Linked DNA regions of Caenorhabditis elegans. The protein of the gene in region 3 interacts with the protein of the main gene of each other region in a pairwise test. Each region holds a gene or a part of one and is shown on either strand. Other genes may lie near its edges.

Region 1 (4,478 bases), on a different chromosome or scaffold from region 3:
GAGATATTGATCAATTAGCTTTCCAATTGAAGAGGAACGATCTGAATTTTTGAAAATAAAAAAATATTTTTTAATTCTCTAGTTAAACCTGGAAAAGCTTGAAGAACGGCTGATGGGGAAGATGAAGCATCTCCGGATTCTGTGGATTTTTTGTTGATGGACTCAACGAGTCGCTTGGCTTGTGTCGACTTGCCGGACCGATCGAGCCCTGTTAAAATATTAAAATATTGATATTTCTTTAAAATTAAGCTAAATCAAATACCTTCGAATACAATCAGGAGCCCTCGTTTCTGATCAGTAGCCATAGGTGAAGAGATGAGGCTCTGGAAATAAGACAGCATGGAGAAATATAAAATAAAATAGAAACATGAAGACGCGCTTCTATAGAATCGGAACTTTAGATCTACAGATTCAAATCTAAAGATAAAGCCGACAGCGAAAAAATCCAGAAAATCGCATCGGCTATCTAACCTTCTTCTTAATATTTCTATTCAACCGATCCATACACTATTTATTCTCTCATAGAAAAAAGACACAAACGGACAAAATCGATAGGGGACTAAATTAACAGAAGACGTCTCGAGAATGAGATGAATTGGGGGAAAAAAGAATACGAAAAAATCGGATGGCTGTTTCGTCCTCCCCCAGCGACAGAGTTTGTATGTGGAGCTTTGAAGAGTAGACGAAATCGGATGGTGTCTACCAATGGTACATCGTCTTCTGGAAATCGACGTAACGGTGAGACTTGACGAGCCAATTGAGGAACGAGTAGGCGAAGATGAAGCGGAAGATTACCTTGACCTAAAAATAAAAAAAATTAGTATTTTTTTTTTAAATTTAAACGAACAGTGTTATTGTAGACTGGTCCTGAGTAATAGAGGTTGTGGACTCTCCAGATATTGCGCATGAACTCGTTGTAGAAGGCAGATGGGGTCTTCTCACGACGAGCCATCCAGGCTGGAAGATCTCCTAGCTTCACATCCATGAACTTGGTATCAAGCTTTCCGTAGTATCTCCAGTGGCAGTATGGTCCGTGAACGTTCTTGTTCCATCTCTTGTCGAACAATCCAACCTCGGTCTTGTTCAACACGCTAAAAATTATATCGGTTATTTTTGGAAAAGAATTTTATTCGTCGTTTTCAGACAATGACAAACCGGTTGTAGAAGAACACTCCGACACGCTCAACGGCGCGAGAGATCGGGATAAAGATCGCGTCCGGAACCCATGGTCTGAGTTGAGTGTGTGGTGGTGGAGGACGGAACCAGGCCATAACTGAAAATTCGAAGAATTAAAAAAATAAAAATAAACCAGATATTTAATTAAATAGTGAGAATCGAGTAACGATTAAGCCAAATAATCAATAAACAAGAAATTAATTAGAAAAACAACCAAAACAGGCATTTTGTTCAATTTAGCAAATATACACATGAATATCAGGAAGAATATACATTTAAAAAAGAACGTTCCAGCTCCAATAATCCTTAACTATGTGCTAAATATTGTTTTAAATATAAACATGTATTTTTGTAAACATTGATCATTATCGACCATGGGATTACGTTTCAGTAACGCCTAAAACGAATTTAACTCAGAATTTAGTGATATATTTGATTTTAGAAGAAATTAATTGAGTAAATAATGAAAAATCGTCAATATTCCACTTTTAAAAAATGCTTAAGAAAAATGTGTGCAGTTTTCAACGGGCGGCGATACATTTCGGCTAATCGCTGCGAGACCCATGGCCGTGGCCGAGTCTACAACTAGTTCACAAGAGCCGAAATGGTGGGAAAGTCGAGGACTTTAAATTTAATGTTTTTTATTTTCGAATTTAATATTTAAAATCAAGTATTTCCCTTTAAAATTTTATTTTTCAAATCAACTTTTAATTTTTGCAGTTCAAAAAATGAGTTCCGGCGATCAGAATCGAGGAGGCGTCGCCGACAAAGCACTACAACTTGTTTTAGAGATGAAAAGAAATCCAGATGTATTACCGCCTTATAACGTAAAATTATATCCTATTTTCTGCTTTAAATTTGAGTTCTTTTCAGACAGAACTTGTACGCCAATGTTATCAGAAAATCGATGAGTTGTTTCAAAAGAATGCTGCCGTCGTGTAAGTGATACATTTCGGAAGCGTACCGATTCGTTCGTGACTTCTTGATTTAAAATCATATTTTTCAGTGAAAAAATCCGTGCAGGACTCCCTCATGATTCTACGCTTCTTCAACCTCGTTTAGCTGCAATGTGCCATATTCGAGTAAGTCGAGAAGGTCGATTTTTGAAATATTGTAGTGGTTCAATTTTCCAGCGTTGCATGATGGCCTATGTGAACGAGAGGAAAAACAGGATTCGATCATTCAGATGGAAGTATGGAGGTGCTCTTCCCGCGTCTGTTAGGGTAATCGGTGCACATGATTAAAATTTGTCAACCATTATTTTTCAGAACGCCCTCTGCGATGCGGAAATTCAGTTTTTCAATGAGTATTCGAGCACATTGGCAAGATTCCAAAGCAATCTTGGAGAAGGTGGTGTTAATCTGCTGCTTCATTCTGCACCACCGAAGTCACTTTTTGTACAAGTTAGAGCTCTCGAGGATTATGGAGAATTTGAAACGTCAGATGGAACTCAAGTTCAGCTGTCCAAGGATAGTTTGGTAAGTCTTCGAATTTTTCTTTATTTGAAAAAAGAGAAATCCCGTTTTTAATTTTTTAAATAATGTATAACATTTTTCAGCACTCCCTTCCACGCCAAGACTGCGAAATGCTGATACGTCAGGGTGTTCTCGAGCTTGTTCATTGACTTGTTGTCGGTATTTTGTTTTCAACCTGTGATCTGTATAAATAGCTTCTTGTCAGTTTATTTTACAAAAAAAGTAGCCTCGTTTAATTAATTAAGAAAACACATAAGTTAAAAAATTATTTCGACTTCTCCGAGAATTTCTCGACGGCAGCACGAACTTCCTTGATATCGGCAGCATCTCCCCACTCCTTCTCCAAATGAGTGAACACGATGTCGTTGTTAGCAATCAAATAAACACCTGAACAATTATTATGAAAAAATAATTTTAATAATTTTTCGTACCTCCCAAAAGTCTTCCCTCTCCTTCCATGTTTCCCTCGACCTTGGCTTTCTTTGCTTTGTAAACATTCGAGTAAGTTCCGAAACGAAGAAATCCCATCCAAACTGGCAGCCAGCGTTCGTTTGGACCGTAGAAAGTGCGATCAGTGTCCAAATAGACATCACCGCCGGAGAACCAAGACTTGAACTCATTTGCTCCACGAGTCTCGTGCACAACGGCGGCCTGAAAGCAAAGTTTTAATTTTTCTATTTTGAAGGAGCGCTTACCAGTTCGATTCCTTTTTCCTTGAGCAACGGGAGCAGTGTGTGCAATTCAGCAGCTTCACGACGGCACAGCATACATCCCGGACGACGTACAGCCATCACCATGATCGGACCTTTCTTGAACAACGAGTCGGCCTGAAACTTCTCAAATAATTTTAATTTTAGAGTGAAAATGTTTACCGTAAACTGCTCATTTCTCTCCACAACTTCTTTTTCCTTCGGTCCACCACGAATTGGGACAAGTTTTGCGGCCGCCAAATGAGCAAAGGTTGGAGCAACAGCTCCGATTGTCAAATAAGTGGGAAGATTCGCGTAAACGAGAGCTCCGCCGAGAGCAGCGGCAGCTCCATAACCGAGAAATGCCATTTTCTGAAAGAAGAAGCTTTGGAAACTTGGAGTTATTCGAAAAAATGGTGACCACTTTGAAAATGCACATTAGAGACATTATTTTTGAATCGTCACAGCAAAATGAAATGCTCAGAAACTCGTAATTTAGTGAAATTCGCTATTACGGCCTTTTTTCAGTGTTTAGTTTTTTCTCAAATGAAAAGAAATTGAACTTAACATTTGGCTGACTAGTGAGTTCGTCGCGAGACCTATTCAGAATACTGTATGCGTCTTTAAAGTGAAGTGTTAAGTTTTGAAGTAATTATGATACAACTTTTTTTTCGTGGAAACTCAGTAAAAAATCGTCTAAAAATAAAAGAATAAAAAGAATTTCTGTTGGGAAAAGTTGTGTATGTGAAAAATGGTAAACAAGTTAGAGTGTAGTGTCTTATGGAAATAGTATGCAATTCTGAGAGAACGCATAGAAAAACGCTGATAAACACTTTTTGGTCGATGAGCTCTAGGCGTTCGAGTTTTTTTTTCTTCAAAAAACACCAGAAATCTCAATTAATCTGAATTAATCTGAAATATAAAATTTCTATGAACTTCAGATATCATTTTGTTCTGAAAATAATCACTCTACAACACATTGTTTTAAATACTCATTTGAAGAAGGAACAACTTCAGAATTCAAGAACAGTTGAAAATCGGGGGAAACATCAATTTGAAACAGGAAAAGAAGGAACAGAAGAAACCGAGAAAATAAGTACATTATTATGGAAGTGCATGTGATTTGTCAGGAGGCATG
Region 2 (5,740 bases), on a different chromosome or scaffold from region 3:
AAAAATTCCGCAGCAATGACTAAATTTGGAAATTACAGTACCCCTTAAAGGCGCACACCAATTTGTTTACAACAGAAAATTGTAATATTTTTGTAGAATTCGTGGTCGAAATCTTGTATTTTTCACCAGAATTCGAAAAGATCGTGGCGAGACCAAGAAAACTCACCGACGCAAAGAAAAACTCGTATAAATCAATAATCGCTGGTGCAGACTTTGAGCAAAGTGTCGGCAGAAGTGCTGTCATTCGAAGATATCTTCCGAAAAATCTCAAAAGATTCAGAGCAGTATTGCAAAGATTCGGAGGTGGTACACCAGAAGGCTCGTCCAGCGGATCCTCGGAGAAGCTCTCCTGCTTCGTTAGATTCGGATTATAGTTTTCATTTTGAATTTCAGTTGCCGCTGAAGATGTTGAATAGCTCCGTTCAGACTTTTGGCTATAGGATGATTGAAGACGGGATCGGATGGCAGCTTGGCAGAATGGATTCTGCCAATCGTTGCCGATCAGCTCCACGGTTTCTTCCTCACTATTCTCCGATTCTTCTCTGGATTTCGGCGAACTTTCGATTCTAACTGATTCCTTCAAAAACTCGAAGTCTTGCAAATCGAAAATCGTGAACTGAAATGGTACTGGGCACAATGCGAATGATTCGTTTTCGAAGAACATCGAGAGCTCCTCCATTCGCTCGGTATGATATCGGTCAAAGTAGGTCTCGGTCCGTTTTTCAATGGATTCTGCGAGCTTCTGATGGTGTGTGCTGGCGAAATAGGTCTTGCCGATATTGTTGAATCGATTGATGGTATCTACGATGTCAAGAATATGTTCAAACTTTAAACTGACAAAGTCTCGAGATTCAACTAGAACTTGAAGCCTGCGAGTTGCTGCTAGAAACACTTCTGTTCTAGAAGCCAGCAGTTGTTTGTAGATGCTTTGGGATGCTTCACTAGCAGATTCCGAGCTATGGAAATTTAGAATCTTGTGAAACGCCTGGAAACTCCTGCACAGCACAAATCCCATCTCTCGGAAGGTGATGGAAGCCTGCTCGCTGTCCAGCTTCAAGCAAAGACTTGTGTACGAGGAATCTTCGAGACGATCCTCTTCCTTCAGCTTGGATAGGACCACCGCACTGGTTGTGGTTTCGATGGCTTCGACGAAGGCGGTGAGCAGCTTCTCGGCGACTTGCTCGGTTTTCTCCAGCATCTCGTAGGCGGTGTACACGAATCGATACTTCTCGGAATCGAAGACCACAGCGATTGTGGAGAGTTGCGCGGAGAGTTCGGCTTCCAGGAGACAGCTCATTCCGGCGAGCTTTGAGATTACTTCGCTGCAAAATTTTGGTCAGGAAAATCTGTGCTCTTTTCCTTAATGGGTCCCGCAACGATTTTGTGTTAAAAATAGCCGTTCATTCAATTTTGAATCGAGAAAATCCATTTCTCCGGGTTTCTACTTTAAAATTTGATTTATTCTCTACAAATTGTGAAATATTTCACATTATTGAAGTAAGTTCTGAAGAATTTAACATTCAAAAAAGTTAGTTTAAGCCAAATTTGGTCAAAATTTTAAGCTTTTTTAGATTGAATAATTTAAAGTAAGTTTCTACATTTTTCGAACATTTTTTAGTTTTTGAGTTATTAACAAAAAAAATCGTTTTTTCACTTTAAAACTATTTTCCACGTTTAAATTTCAGGCGTTATATTGATTTCCACCTATTTTTGCCCAAAAAATCGGCTTAAAACGGTAAAAAAATGATCATTTTCAACAAGAATAATTCAAAACTTAAAGAAAATGTTTAAAAAATAATTACCATAAACCTTTTTCGCTGCGAGACCCATCTTGAAAAACACGTGCGCCTTTAAAAGGTCTTCGAAAGTTTTTGGGATTTTTAGCTTAAAATGTGAATTTTCAGCCGCTTTTTTCGATTTTTGAGCATTTTTTTTTTCTCATTTTCATTCAAAAATCCATTTAATACTTACTTTACACATGTAAAATGAGCGTATCCCCCGGCTTTTATTTGAGTTTCGATTAGCATTTGAATTGCAAGCGGGAAATTTCCTTCTTCAATAGTTTCTCGAATGTGCTGTTCGGTCTCGTGGAAGCCTTTTATCGTTGTGAGCGTCATTTTCAGCTGATTTAGAACGATTTTCTTATTTTTATAAGCGATTAATCCGAGACACGTCCGAGTTTGGCTTGTCGCCAGCGCGAGCGCTTTTCGTATCGTCAGAATTTCGTTGATAACACTTCCGACTTCGTCTCGGATTTTCTCCATTTCACCGACCTGTGCCGTGTAGGATGAAGATTTTTGCATGATTAGTGTGGATATTTTCTTGGAAACCACAGTATGCTGAGATTTTAGCCGAAACCTCTCGCGCTGGATGTCCTCGTAGCACATTTCGATGTCACAGAGCTTCTAAAAGTTAAAATTTTCGTTTTACTTGGTTTTTTGTTCCACTAAACCTTCAATTCATAGTCAATCGCATCGAACTCATCGTTATCTATAAAATACGCGGCGTCTATCGAGTTGATGACGTCATCTTCCTCGGAAATTTTTGATTTTACTCTCCGAGGCGTTGAGTTTTGTGAATTACTCTCTGGAGCTATTGGAGGGCTTTCCGAGCACGACGGAGCATCGTAAGAGCTCATAACTTTCTCGTTCATATTATCTAATAAAACCTGAAAAGTCGATTTAATATTTGACATTTTCCTTGAAAAAATTCCCACTTTTACATCGCTATCCGAAGAAAATTGTTCGCCTATTTGATTAACAGTTTTTGCTAGTTGTTCCTTAAATCGGTCCATTTCTCGCCAAGCTTTCACCTCTGAAATTGTTAATTTGTTAGTATTTTAATTTAAAAAACCAGCGGAAGCAAGCAAAATTAATTTAAATTTCAAGTAGCAGTATCGATTTTTCTGTAAATCCTGTGAAAAACCACTCGAAAATCTAATTATTCCAATCGATTTTTCCCAAAGAGGAAGCTAAAAGCGGATAAGAAAGAGTAAATCCGAGAAAAAGTGTGCCAGGGTGTTGCGTTTCCTTGCAATGCGCGCGCGTTTCTCTATTGCGAGCACAGCACCATTTTTCAAATAAGACGTTTTCTCCCTTCTTGGCAGTCGATTTTTATTAGTTCTTTCTTATTTTTTGGTGAAAAATTGAAAATTGCCGTCGTTTCTTCGGTTTTTTGGCGTTAAATTGAATATTAAACAGAAAAATTGTGATAATATGAGGAAATATCCTAAAATTCTCGATATATTTCGAAATTGTAAGAGCTTTTTTGCAATATTTCCCCGATTTTTTCCATTAAGTTCGTTCCGATTTCCAATAAATTTGAAAAAAAAACAACGGCGCTTAGCACTTTTTAATCGGATGATAACATTTCCGCCCCATGTCAATTTGACTTATCGATCGTTCTGTCGTGTCATTTTCCACCACACCCTTTGTGTGGCACATTTGCATTCGATGTTTATATTTAATTTTTTTTTTTTGCAGAGTGTAGTTGAGTACAATCAGCTCAGAGGATTTTCCTCACCCCCTTGACACCATCAAAAACTAAGGCCAACGCCGTGAAACATCATGTCGACTGAACAAGCTAACGGAACAACTATTGAGGAGAAGAAGGACAAAGGTGAGTAGGACAGGTGGTCTTCAATATTTAATCCCTCAAATTGCAGTTGCCGAGGTGACCGAGAAATTGGACAACCTGGCCGTCGACACTACCAACGAGGCGAACGATGCAAAGCAGCCAGCACGTCGTGGCGGATTCCGCGGACGAGGACGTGGTCGTGGTCGCGGAGGACACTTCTACCAACCAAGACCACCATATGAGGATCAGATGAAGAAGCTCGAGGAGGATCTTGCATCGAAGAAGGTCATCGAGACCGGTGTCAAAGGACACGTCAAATGGTTCTCCGTTCGTGGACGCTACGGATTCGTTGCTCGTGATAAGCCAACCGACGAGAATGAGGACTTCTTCGTCCATCAGACCGCCATCACCAAGTCAAGCACCATTAAGTTCTATCTCAGAACTCTCGATGACGATGAGCCAGTCGTCTTTGACATTGTCGAAGGACTCAAAGGACCAGAAGCCGCCAACGTGACTGGACCAGATGGGGAGAATGTTCGTGGATCGAGATTCGCTCGTACTTTGCTCACCCATTGGAGAACAAGAGGACGTGGTGGTGCACGAGGACGCGGTGGACGAGGACGTGGTGCTCCACGTCAGACACGTGACCAGGACGGAGATGAGAAAGATGAGAAGGAGAAGTCGGACACCATTGAGAATAGGTTAGTCTAGCTTTTAGTAACGGTTCTGGTGTTTTTAGGCTCAAAATGCGCTCAAATAAACCGATTTATTTAAAAAAAAAAATGAAAAATGGGCTGAAATTAAGTAAAATCTCAAAGTGGCCGCCGAAAGTTGATATTTTCGGTATCATCTGCTTTTATTGCATATTTTAGTCGTTTATCTCATATTAGTTCGTTGATTTTTGGCATTTTTGGTTACCTATTGGTGTAAAAACTACTTTAATCAACGAAATAATGTGAGATAAACGAGCAAAATATGCAATAAAGGTAGATAATTCCGAAAAAAAAAATCATTTTTGGACAGAAAGTGGCCAAATTGGACGTTAGCCCATTTTTTCAAATTTTAAAGAAGTTTTATTATGCAATTTGCACATTTTGGGTCTATACCAGGGGTGTGCGGCAAATCTCAAAATTTGCCGAGCTCGGCAAATTCGGCAAATTTGCCGCACACCCCTGGTCTATACGTTCCATTTAAAACTGGAATTTTAACTCTAAAATTACAATTTTTCAGCGGAGACGGAGAAACTCGCGGAAAGCGTCGCACTCGCCGCCACGGAAAGCTCCAGCCAGATGCTCCATCCGGCGAGAAGGGAGACGGTGATGCTGCCGCTGCCACTACCGATGCTGCTCCAGCCGCCGAGAAGAAGAAGAAACGTCAGCGCAAGGGAAATAAAGAGCCCACCACCACCACTGAGCAGAAGGAAGAGACCGCTGCTCCAGCTAAAGCTTAGGCTTCTAGCTGTTGACACCTACCATCAACTTTTGTTATCTAATTAAACACCTTTTGTATTGAGAACAGTCCCATTTCTTGAATTGTATAGCTGATCCTTTCGAAAAGCCCAAAATTTCCAAAATTTGTTCTGCACGATTTATATCCACTCAGTTCTTTGGAATTCAATTTCGAGAACTTTTTGAGTTTATATTAAGTAAAAGTTTCAATGCAAATGATTCTGTTCATTGTTTTATAGAAATCAAATTCAAACTACCAGTAAGCAATAAAAATATGTAATAAATAATTAGGAATTTAGGAAAGCTCGAATCCAGTCCCAGCGTGGATCGCGTAACGAAGTTTCTCGAGCAGCAGTGACTTCTTATTGTAATTCGGAAGCTTTAGCAAGTTAAAGCAGGTGGACGCAGTTGGAAGTCGAGTAGCTGCAGTTCCCTTTCTCAAAGCCAAGAATCCACGAACCACACTTCCCAAGGTGTCTCCCTGATCCTGATCGTCGGAAACTTCAACGCATCGAATGGAGAAGGGCGGCTCGAGATACGAAAATCCAAGAACAGGAGGTCTCGAGCAAGAAGTGACAAACTTTAGGAACAGTTTCCTCTCTTCTGAAGTGAACTTGTTCTCAAGAATATCCCAAAGCCATTTAATAAGCCGATGGTTTCCATGGAATCCTCCGAAATATTGCACATTGCGCTTCAGATCCGCCAGATCGATGTCT
Region 3 (10,906 bases):
AGAACATACCATCATCTCTGGAATTTCAATTTAATCCCAATTTAACCCAGAAAAAAACAAACTTTGATTCCTTCTTTTCAATTGGTGGCAACGGAGGATCATGAATAACGTGAGCCCATATGTGATTGATGACTTCAACGACACTTCCACATAATTTGTAGCATTTTGTCGGATTATAGGAACACTGAAAGCATTGAAATTTTAGTTTTCAATCTGCAATCTCCTAGCCTACCATGAATTTTCCCTCGATTTTCTTTGTGTTATATCTAGAAGATCTTCGTGATGGTTCATAACTCTCAGTTGCTTCGAACATATAATGTCCTTTGTAAATGTTCGGAGTATTTCCGGCATTCTGATTGTTTCGTGTTCGTTGTATTGATGTAGATGGGACGACCGCCGGTGTACTGTGGACAGATGAAAATGGTCTACAAAAATCGCAAAAATTTAAATTCATCTAGTCCGACTTGAGAAATTAATCTAAAGCATTCAAAATGGTACTATAAGACCTTTTAGAAACTTATTAAAATGTGTAAATGAAAATTTATTTGTCTACTCCCATATTGGTTACCTTTTTAGACCTTTTGCCGCTAGTTGTACTAGAAATTGAGGATTTTGAAGAATAGCTGTCGCAGGCAATGAAGGCCTCGAATTTCGAATTCCTGTGGGAATTTCATTTCCTCGGAACGCAGGCTGATTCTTATTGTAGACGTCTGAGAGCCTTCTTATTCCGATCTGATCAAAATTCAAATTTTTTCCAGTCGAAACGTGAACTGTTGCTTGACTGTTGTTACCATGATTTGCTGTCGTACTGCTGAAAATACGGTAGATCGATTTCGAAGTGATTAACGGTTGATCTACATACGTTTTCAGAACGACGGGAGGTCTAGGCGTCAAAGGAATTACATCGTCGTCATCGTCGGAAAGTGTGATTACTTCTGCCATTGAATTTTCTTGTTGGTTATTGACTGGAAGTGTTCTAAAAACGAGATATTACGAGAATACAAGAGAGAGAGAGAAAATAAGAGAATTCCGAAGAATCGATCCGTTGATCAGGGGAGTGAGGGTGGAATGAAGACGTCGGGCGCCTATTCAAGAGACGCAGAATGGATAGAGAGGGAGAAAACGGAAGCGAAATGTGTGGCGGAGGGGCGCACTTTCATGTTTTCAATTGAGCTTGCTCCACGAGCTAGCATGGGAGAAATGTGAATTAGATAGGAAATTGTGAAATCGGAGGATTAGAATTACTTGGTTCAGAAATATCAGGTCTAAAACTAGAACTTTTCGTTCTGAAACTTAGATATTTCAAATCTAAATCTAAAGATGTGAAATCAATAATAAGTCGTTTTTATTTGACAGAGAGAGCTGGCTCTTGATTGAAATGTACTAAATAAACAGAGCCAAATAATATTGATTTGAAAATTTTAGTTAAAGATCTTTCTCGAGATAACATTAAAAATTCAAGTCTGTTGTATGATCTCCAGAACTCGCGCCAAATCTATTTTTGAAATATGTGAAGTTACATTGCGCCTCCTAGAGATCAAATGGCGAGCTGAAAGATCAATATACATGAAAATCGTACACTATCAAATCAAAAAAAGCTATTCCAAAAAGTGCTGTGAATTCTAAAATATATAATACATTATTTTTGAGTAAAACTGTGACCTGTTTTTCTATCTGCGCACGGTTTCTGATTGAAATGATTAAGTTTAAATAAATTATTGATTTTTTCAGTGGAAATATGACATATGTATAAGCGAAACTTTCGTTAAAACATTAAATGTATTGTAACAAATAAGCTCCGAAATTCAAATACCTTTTGAAGAATTTTAAAAGTAAGATATTTTGGTGTGGGACTAAAACCAAAATTTCTGGAAACGTTGTTAAAATTTCAAATACTAATCCAAAAAATACATAAGAAAACCATTCACTAGAGCGTAATTGCAAAAAGGGTAGTGCAAGAGAATGGAAGTAATTTATTGATTATTTTCCCGTTGTGCAAACCGTAGACAGCGGGAACATATGGCATGAGAGGCAGCTGCGCGCGTTTTCCCACTTGTTTGAAAAGATATTCTCTTATAAGAAATGAAACGAGAAGAATAAAATTACGTTATTTAAACGATTCAAAATAAATTAAAGCAACGAGGACAAGCAAAATTATTGAAAACTTTACGAAACAAAAAATTGAAACAATCACTAGAAATTTAAAAAAGACAAAAAATGAAACCAATTAAAAATATATAGCACATTTAGAAAATCGGAATGGCTCATGCTTTCATGTAGACATTATGCCAAAACTTGGTTCGATTTAGATTATCTCTGTCGATTAGGAAGTCGTAAAGGATGTCGAAGACGTAGATCGGAATATTATCACGTTTCAGCAACACAGCGCTCTTAAAATTTGAATAAATTTTATCGAAGAGATTTTCTTAATTTACCTGAGGATTCCATGGGAACTCTTTGGATGCCAAAACAATGTTAGGCTTAAGTGTAGATACTTCTACATACTCGGAAATCGAATGAACAATGGCACCACCGGCTTCCAGAATCGATGAAAATACGCCAGCTCTCTTATCGTCGAGATGAATTACGCAACGCCAATCCGAGAATGCTCCATTTTGACGATTCTCCTGAAAGATTTGCCCGTTTCAAACAGGTTGAGCAGACTAGTGAGTTTTGAATGTTTTTGGTTCTAGTAAATTTAAATTTCAATTCAGAAATTGACCCAAAAAGCCAGAAAGCTACATATCTAGAAACTGACCATGCTAACTGAAAATGTAACCGGCATCTCTGCCACACGTTGCCTCCATAATCCACAAACAGCTGCTAGATTCTCGGAAACTTTCCGACTATCTCGTTCTTTGAGGGACTCGTTCTTTTTCGAACACGCCAACAACTTTTCTCGAGTCCACTCAAATGATTTTTCATCGAGCCATCGACCAACTTCAGCACTTTTAGTCACATAATCAGGTGTTAGACACCATTTTCCAGCTGCAATTGAGCAAAGAACTTTTGGAGCTCTTTGCATGTTGCTCGCAATCAGATGAGTCACATCTTTATTGAATTCACGTTCGATGGTACCACCAAGCTTCATGATAGTTTCTTGTAGATCTGCGGCTCGCTGAAAAAAACAAATATATAGAATTGAAAATCAAAACTTAAGAAATCTAACTTGAGGATCCATATTAGAAACACTGAGCAAAAAACGTGGATTCATTGCATATCGACGGTTCAGATCTTCGTGTTCTTGATTTTGATCTGCGAATGATTCATCCATTGGCATATATCTCATTGAACGGTTTACATCACGAACAAGAACGGGAGTCTGAAAAATACACATTTATCTCATAGTTTTAATAAGCTGGCTATGAGTTTAATATATTTAATTCCTTAAACTATTCGGACAATACTGGAAACTATTAAATCTTCTAACGGTGATATACAACAGAAATGCCATACACTAGAGACAGTTTTTCGATTTTCTGGAACTCTGGGTCGAATTAGGTGGCACGTGGAAGGCTCATCCTCGAAATCTTCGTTTCTTCCAGTGTTCACGACAGCTTTTCGAAGGATGCTTCCAACTCGAGAAGTTGTCAGCGTTTCCTGTGTTTCACGTGCCGGTGACTCCATATTGTTGATGTATTCGCTAACACCGTCGAGTTGGAGGCTATAAAATTGGATAACATTGACAAATTATGTGTTATTTTAAAGTTTTGCAACTAAATTTTTTTTTCAGAAATATCTAAATGAGTTTAAGATATTACCATTATAACTCCCAAAAATGCTCCGAAAATACGGTCCGGAGAAATATTCTCCCGATTCTTCAAAATTTAATGTAATAATGTCTCATGTTTTTTTTCTTTTTTAAAATATACATTTCAAAAAACCTGATCAACAATATTTTTGAGATGAAGCTCCAGGAAAAGCTTATTAATAGAGAAAAAGTTGCACAAAATGCTGAAATACACATTTCTTTTTTTGAAAATCGCAATAACCTACAAATTACGGTAGTTAAAATTTAGAATTTCACAATTTTCATAATTTGCAACCAGAAAACTCACTTCATCGTATATGGCTTTCGAAGATCGGGGAAATAAGGATTCACATAGGGGGTCGTCATGTCACCGATGTTCCCATTCCCAGTTTCTACTGGTAGATCCTGTACTCGATGTCTATCTTCAACCTCAACTTCCATTTCTTGTGTACTATTATTCTTCTCTCGAGAACACTTTTCCCAGAGATCATCGTCTCGTTGAAATCCACTTAGAGGCCTCGTGTTGTTCTTATACAGGAAGTTATCAATTGGCTGCAATCGACATCTGCTCACACTGGCTATAATCCATGAAAAATCGAGTGTTCGGGAATGGTATCTTGGTGGATTGTCTTCTGCATCAATCATAATAATAAAATCCTTTGGTTCCAACTGCTCCACAATTCTTCCTCCATTGTCCTCGATAATATCTCTTACACGATCACGGAGAAATGGATCTTTGCATTTTAATTGGAAGCCACGTTGATTGAAAATTAGAATTGGAGGACGGGGAAGTGGTACAAATAATGGATAACACGATCGATTGAGAAATCTGTTGTTTCCGATGCTCGCGTACTGAAAAATAAATATATTGTCTGGCATATTGTCAGGTTTCAATCTTTACAATATAAAAATCCGTGACAACAGCATCAAATGAAATCAACTCGTGCATTGGTCCAGAATGTCCGAAAATCACAAACTCCGCATAATCTGGATCGTCCATCAGTTTGCCTCCATTCAACGGAATTTTCTCTTTCAAATCATCAGAAACTTCTTGATCGACGGAACAATGGACACAATACGTGTGATATCTGAAAATGAGAATATGGAAAAGGAACATAAAAAAATAAAATACAATCGTACGAGAAAATTCCGACTTGAGTTGAAGTAGAGCTTGGTCCTGATGTTTTACCATATGGAATGGTTGATTTAGACGAGGTCCGGGGAAGAGGCTGAGGTCTTACTGGTTGCAGTTGAGATTGAGAAGATTGTGATTCATCAGCTGTATTTTCAGTCCATTGATAACCTGAAAAAATTAATAGTTAAACTGTTCGTTCCATCCAGAGGTATTCGACACTTTTTTCGGTTCACTGTTGTATCGAAGTTTTTTTTTCCGGAGAATCATACATATATTATAAATATTTGTTATTTTCTGAAGATAACTTTATTTTCAGTTAAGTTTTGAGAAGTTGCATCAAAAGTTTCGTCGAAATATTTTGGTGTTTTTTGAGAACATCGAAATTATAAGGAAAAAATTGGGAGATATGTCAAAAATAGGTTTATGTTGATGAGAAAAAAAAAGTTTTGTAAAACGAAACTTCGAAGTTAAAAAAAAATTCAGTTTTAAACTGAAATCTTCAAGCAACTTATCGAAGCTATTAATTAAAGATGAAGTTTTCTTCAGAAAATACAAATATTTCTCTATTTACAAATTTCCGAAAAAAAACTTCGAAAGAGAAAGAGGATGTTGTAAAAGTGCTGAGACCTTCCACTGAAATCATTTTCCGCTGTTTGACACACTCGACCACCCATCCAACAGTAACAATTGCAATATCTTCTTGATGAAGGTGTTTTCGAATGGTAATTCGTTCTTGTTGATTCGGCGAAACTACAACCACATTCGTTGCTGATGTGAATTTTGCGACACGCGTTGCTCCAGTCTCGTTCAGAAATCGACGCCATTTTTCCATTCGAGACTCGTCGACTCCACATATATAGAACATGCAGTTCTGAAAAATTGATGTTAATTTTGATTTAAAGAATAGAAAAAAAAAACTTCAAAAAGATCTCCAAGTCCATCGTCAATATTTTTTCGAAGTTCATCGATAGGATCAGAAATAACGTCAGCAATATTTTGAACGGATGCTGTTTGAGTAGTTGGATATCGAATCAGTGGAGTAGTTTGAACTCGAGCTATTGGAGTTGATCTGAATATCGAAAATTCATTGTTCTTTCTAAAATTTCCGTTTTCACATACATTCCATCTCTAACTCCGCTTCCAGATCTTCCTAATGTTGAATCATTATTCGTAAAAGTACTCGACGGGATTTTTGACGTAGAAGCAAATGAAATAAACGAAGATCCTGATTGATGTTGATATGATTGATCCATTTGTGGAATAGAAGAATTGAATGAAGATGTACCCAAACGACCTCCATGTCCAGCGATTGATGAGATATCCGGCACACTTTCAGTCACATTAGCATCACGTTTCGGGGTGGAAGATCGAATATGATCAGCCGTTAAATATTTTGGATGATATTTTCTGTAAAACGCTTTTTCTGGCAACATCATTTGAATGGAAAGTAGAGCGCCCAAAAACGAGCAAATTTTATAATGAAACACAGAAAAAAAAACTGAAAAAAAAGGATTATTTTGCTAAAAACGGAATTTTCATTTTCCTGTCATTGTCGCAGTTTTTATTAAATCCTAAATTTTTATTGCATGTTTTGATAGCTTATCTCGCGTAAGCTCGTTGATTTAAGAATATATTTTTTCTGCAAAATGTTCCTCTTTTTCGGATTTTTTAATGTTTTTTGAATGAATGTCGCTTGATTTGAGCCAATTCCCTCTCAAAAACGAACCCCGCATCTACAAGATGTCCTAAATCTACACATTTCCGAATCCATCGAGACTGCACAATTTGCATTGATTTCCATTCAACAGCTTTTGCATATTTTACTCCAGTAATTTTATCACTGATAAGATAGCTACATCTGGTTTTTGACATGGTTCCAGGCACTTTTCCTCCGTGATCTTCAATCAGCTGAATGAAATTGGTACGATCAGCGCCGTCGATCGATGTGATTGCCATTTCCTGAATTTAAATGTATAAAACTGAAATTCAAATTCATGATTTCGATCACTCACGAGCCCTTCAAAAACTCTCAATGCATAGGAATTAACTGAATCCCGCGATAAAGCACTAAATCTGCCCATTGTGGTTTGAGAAGTTTCCCAGAGATCATCAATCCATCCGATTCGCATTAATTTGATTGAATTATTGACAGCAGCCTGGAATTTTTTTATTTTATTTTAAATTTCTGCTTGATATACTATTTAACCTTATACTTTTCCGTCTGTTCTGCTTTTTCAGTTACTAGGTGAGTCGTTTCGTGATATAGAGCATCTCCAACCACTCCACACATCCATCCGATTTTTTCGTAGAGTTCTTGCTTTTTCGTAAGATTCAACCCGGTGAAACTGATTTTTACGTCTTGAAAAACACTGGAATACACTGGATGATTCCATTGTGGGAGCTGCTTCCCATCTTCGATACTTTCAAGAACAATTGGAGGACCGTATACTCTGAATATTGTAATTTTATTTTGTGGACTTGAATTTATTTGAATTTAATTTAACACAAACTTCAATTTCCGGGCTTGAAGTTTTCGAAAAAGCTTTCCGCGGAAACAGGGTAAAACGAAAAAGTCTTCAGATTTCTGCAGATCTTCGAGTGCATCTGAATCAATCCATTCTGGCATGATTCCCACAGCTTTTGCAGTCTGAAAATACGCCTAAAACTTGAAAAATAAATAAATTAATAACGCAATACTTTGAATAACTCTTCTAAATTGCGAATTTCTTTGACTGTTGGTTCATTGGGAAGATCGACAAAGTACAATGTGAACGGAGAATCTTCTTCATCGTCATCGCAAAGCACCGACTCGTCTTGCATCCTACTGACCTGAAATTTGAAGTTTTGATATTAAAATTGTTGAAAATCAGATATAATTACCTCACTCCTTCGTGCCTTCTTCGGGGCCGGAGGTGCCTCCATTGTAAAATCTGGAATATTTTGATAATAAAAAAAGCTAATTTCGCCAGTAAAAAACTCAAGAATTGGCAGGGTAGGGTGTTAACATTAAGTTCAAAAATGACAGTTTCGCGCGTGTGAAATGCGAACAGACACGACGGGAAGTGGTATGACTGTCTGCGTCTCTCGATATTCTGAATAACAGAACTGCTGACAGTTTCTCTCATTTGTATGAAGAAATTTGTGAAAAGAGTTCAATCTGGAAGATGGAAATGTGAACATGGAGAAAACAATTGATCAGAGTAATTTAAATTATCTCAAAGCCAAAAACTGTACGGAACAGCGGCTTATAGCATCTCTATTTGAATGAAAATTATATAGCAGTTTCTCTTTAAAAACTTTTCCGAAAAAATCATCGGAAAAACCACTTCCTATTTTCCAAGTATCATCGCGCGTAAGTATTGTCCTTTTTGGATTTAAGGTTCAACGATACATTTTCACATACTGAAAAATGACGATACATTTTCATATTAGCGAGGAAAGGATGAAGAGTTCAACAACACCCAAAATTTCGAGATTCTACCGGAAGTTGATGTAAAAAAAAAGTAAAAAAAAAGGAGACCCGAAGAACTCGGGGATGTCCAATTGGGGGGATTACCAACTCGGGGGATTGGCCCCGCCCACAGAACCGTGGCTTGCAATACGCCCATTTCTGCAACTGCCGCACGGTTTTGAAACTGTATTTTTCTTGTTAATTCTCGCTCTATTGAGAAAAATACAGTTTCGAAACCGTGCGGCAGTTGCAGAAATGGGCGTATTGCAAGCCACGGTTCTGTGGGCGGGGCCAATCCCCCGAGTTGGTAATCCCCCCAATTGGACATCCCCCGAGTTCTTTGGGTCTCAAAAAAAGTAAACTATAAATTTTCCGTGGATCTGCAAAATTACGTGAAGTGTTTGTTTGCTTACGTTGCATACCGTAATCTGGAAAGCCGCCAATATCCTAAATTTCTCATGTCAAAAATCTTCAAGCTTGCCGGCCCAATTAACATTTTCAATTAACACCGAAAACACCGGAAACATATTTTTAAAAATGTAAAATGAACACGTGTATTCAGCTCGACCAACGCCTCGAAAATTTTCACAAAAAGGCGGGAAAAAATATTTGAATTCCCCAAGAGGAATTTCACCGCAGCGCGTGCAAAAGTCTGCATTTGCGCGTGACGGTGTTTGCACAAATTACACCGAATGGTCGAGCTGAAAACACGTGATGAATAAAAAACCTTTAAAAACTGTTGGTCTTAAAGGACCTATTCAATATGTTGTTGCTGGGTCTCACCACGATTGCTAATTAATACCGTAGTCAAGAGGCTTGGAAATCTTTTTTCCTAATATTCCATAAAACTTGTAAAATCTTTTGAAAATGTCTTTGTCTTCTTCAATTTCATGGTGTAAAATTAGTTTATTTCGAAAAATTTCGGTCAAAATTATGTCAATTTCAGTTTCAGACATGAAAACATTTAGAATAGATCAAAAATTGTTTGTCCCCAGTTTACGGCGCGAGCGGAAAATTTATGCGATTGTGTTTTCAAACTCGGAAGTTTTTTTTTTTTTCATACGGCTCAACGGCTCGATTCTTGATCAGTTTTTTCCATACTTTCTTGAAAAAAACAGGTCATTTTAAACCTTTTATCTATCTCTTACTTCTATTATATGATTTTATTTACGAAGCTAAAATGCCCATTTTTAACTTTCATAAATTACAGATTCGCTGACAAGATGAGTGACGAAATGCCTTATGAAATCAGCGTAAAGATTGTAATCAATTTATTTATTATTTATTGGTTTTCATTTTCTATTTCTTGCAGTACGCGCTGATCCCAAGAGAGTTCTTATGGACTGACGGGTCTTCTGTTCAGTGTGGACTCTGTCGCCAAAACAACGCATCTGTCACGCTTCCTCATGCGCCCGGAGCCATAAGGCACTTCAAACGACGCCACCGAAAGACATATAATTCCTTCTCTAAAGAAGTTCGGTATCAAGACTACCGGGCTCAAGGCGAAGCTGGACAAGATCCCAATTTCGAATACAATCGGTATCCAGTCCAAAACCAACATATGATGGCTCAAGGCCCAGGTGTCTACCCAATGTTGGCTGCTGCCGCTCCTCAGGTAGGCTTACTTGTTTTGCAATACTTAATTTAATGTTAAACTTTTTCAGGAGCAAAATCATCTTCTTGGTGATCGCATCTACGCTGGTGTCTCCCAAAACTGCATGGGATATCCACAAAATCCGCAAGAAGGGCCACGTGGACCACCACAGCCCTGGAACATCGATATTTCATCTTTCGTTGTTTTCATTGTCATTTTGTTTTTTTCATCTATATGAATAACAAAAAATGCAGAATCGGATTAGTGCTACAGTAGTTTTTTAAAGAATTACTGTAGTTTTCGCTACGAGATATTTTGCGCGTCAAATATGTTGCGTATTACGCACTTTCTGAATTCACTCTTCCCGGTATTGGAGAGAGAGTCACTACTGATGAGACCATTCTCTCTCCGTAAAATTAATTTGTATTAAGTCCTAGTCTAGTGGGAATGATCGAAACTGGGCAAATATTGTTCAACCACGTGTATGGCCCTCGGCAAAACGGCCTAACTTCATAGCATACTCTTGCAACTTCTTAACAACAATTAGGCATTTTAGCTTTTAAGCAAACTTCTGCAGCTTTTCAGACGACTTTTGCAATTTCTTAACAGATGTAAAGCTAAATTTCGCTCACAATCCCGTGGGTTTTCGCAACTTCTTAACTGCTTTTTACAAAGTTATACAAATGTTTTTATTGAGTTGCAGGAGTATGCTATGAAGTTGCGACGTTTTGCCGAGCAGTCCTGGACACTGGTAACTGTGATGTCGCCTGTGTCAAAAGTGAAATCAATCAACCACTTTTTGTCTCTACATATATTCACACATGTATATTGACACATAAAGTGTTACTTAACATCGACAGGTGGATGGATCAGTCGATTGACATTGAGAAACGAAGGAATCGATTGTTTCCCAGCCATCTGACCCAGAGACTATAAGATTCGATAGAACGCATTGTCTTCATTCATTCCTTTCAT

What was found. Proteins that work in one complex are often made in the same cells at the same time.
Region 1: the proteins of mus-101 (region 3) and R53.4 interact in a two-hybrid assay, tested with the Caenorhabditis elegans proteins (2 studies listed by BioGRID).
Region 2: the proteins of mus-101 (region 3) and cey-4 interact in a two-hybrid assay, tested with the Caenorhabditis elegans proteins (2 studies listed by BioGRID).

What each region holds. Positions count from the first base shown.
Region 1 is NC_003280.10:9,966,777-9,971,254, forward strand, and holds R53.4 (Putative ATP synthase subunit f, mitochondrial), read right to left. Parts: upstream 1,274-4,478; 5' UTR 1,272-1,273; coding exon 1,156-1,271; intron 1,092-1,155; coding exon 848-1,091; intron 802-847; coding exon 700-801; 3' UTR 501-699; downstream 1-500. Other genes in the region: dtmk-1 (Thymidylate kinase), read right to left, coding at 1-41, 89-208, 263-305; psf-1 (putative DNA replication complex GINS protein PSF1), read left to right, coding at 1,905-2,003, 2,050-2,114, 2,183-2,258, 2,310-2,399, 2,445-2,654, 2,735-2,800; R53.5 (Peroxiredoxin-like 2A), read right to left, coding at 2,917-3,038, 3,083-3,302, 3,347-3,478, 3,524-3,709. UniProt on the Caenorhabditis elegans protein: Mitochondrial membrane ATP synthase (F(1)F(0) ATP synthase or Complex V) produces ATP from ADP in the presence of a proton gradient across the membrane which is generated by electron transport complexes of the respiratory chain.
Region 2 is NC_003281.10:10,866,446-10,872,185, reverse strand, and holds cey-4 (CSD domain-containing protein), read left to right. Parts: upstream 1-3,482; 5' UTR 3,483-3,566; coding exon 3,567-3,618; intron 3,619-3,664; coding exon 3,665-4,277; intron 4,278-4,806; coding exon 4,807-5,026; 3' UTR 5,027-5,240; downstream 5,241-5,740. Other genes in the region: vps-50 (Vps54_N domain-containing protein), read right to left, coding at 167-1,322, 1,972-2,405, 2,453-2,668, 2,717-2,794; oxi-1 (Ubiquitin-protein ligase E3B), read right to left, coding at 5,320-5,740.
Region 3 is NC_003279.8:10,477,154-10,488,059, forward strand, and holds mus-101 (BRCT domain-containing protein), read right to left. Parts: upstream 7,812-10,906; 5' UTR 7,809-7,811; coding exon 7,767-7,808; intron 7,716-7,766; coding exon 7,584-7,715; intron 7,546-7,583; coding exon 7,397-7,545; intron 7,337-7,396; coding exon 7,093-7,336; intron 7,043-7,092; coding exon 6,899-7,042; intron 6,846-6,898; coding exon 6,613-6,845; intron 6,294-6,612; coding exon 6,006-6,293; intron 5,956-6,005; coding exon 5,805-5,955; intron 5,758-5,804; coding exon 5,514-5,757; intron 5,055-5,513; coding exon 4,892-5,054; intron 4,840-4,891; coding exon 4,653-4,839; intron 4,604-4,652; coding exon 4,059-4,603; intron 3,665-4,058; coding exon 3,457-3,664; intron 3,323-3,456; coding exon 3,170-3,322; intron 3,119-3,169; coding exon 2,759-3,118; intron 2,628-2,758; coding exon 2,436-2,627; intron 2,391-2,435; coding exon 2,265-2,390; 3' UTR 2,149-2,264; downstream 1-2,148. Other genes in the region: row-1 (C2H2-type domain-containing protein), read right to left, coding at 1-17, 63-184, 233-425, 569-811, 863-942; F37D6.3 (BED-type domain-containing protein), read left to right, coding at 9,561-9,599, 9,650-9,952, 10,002-10,169.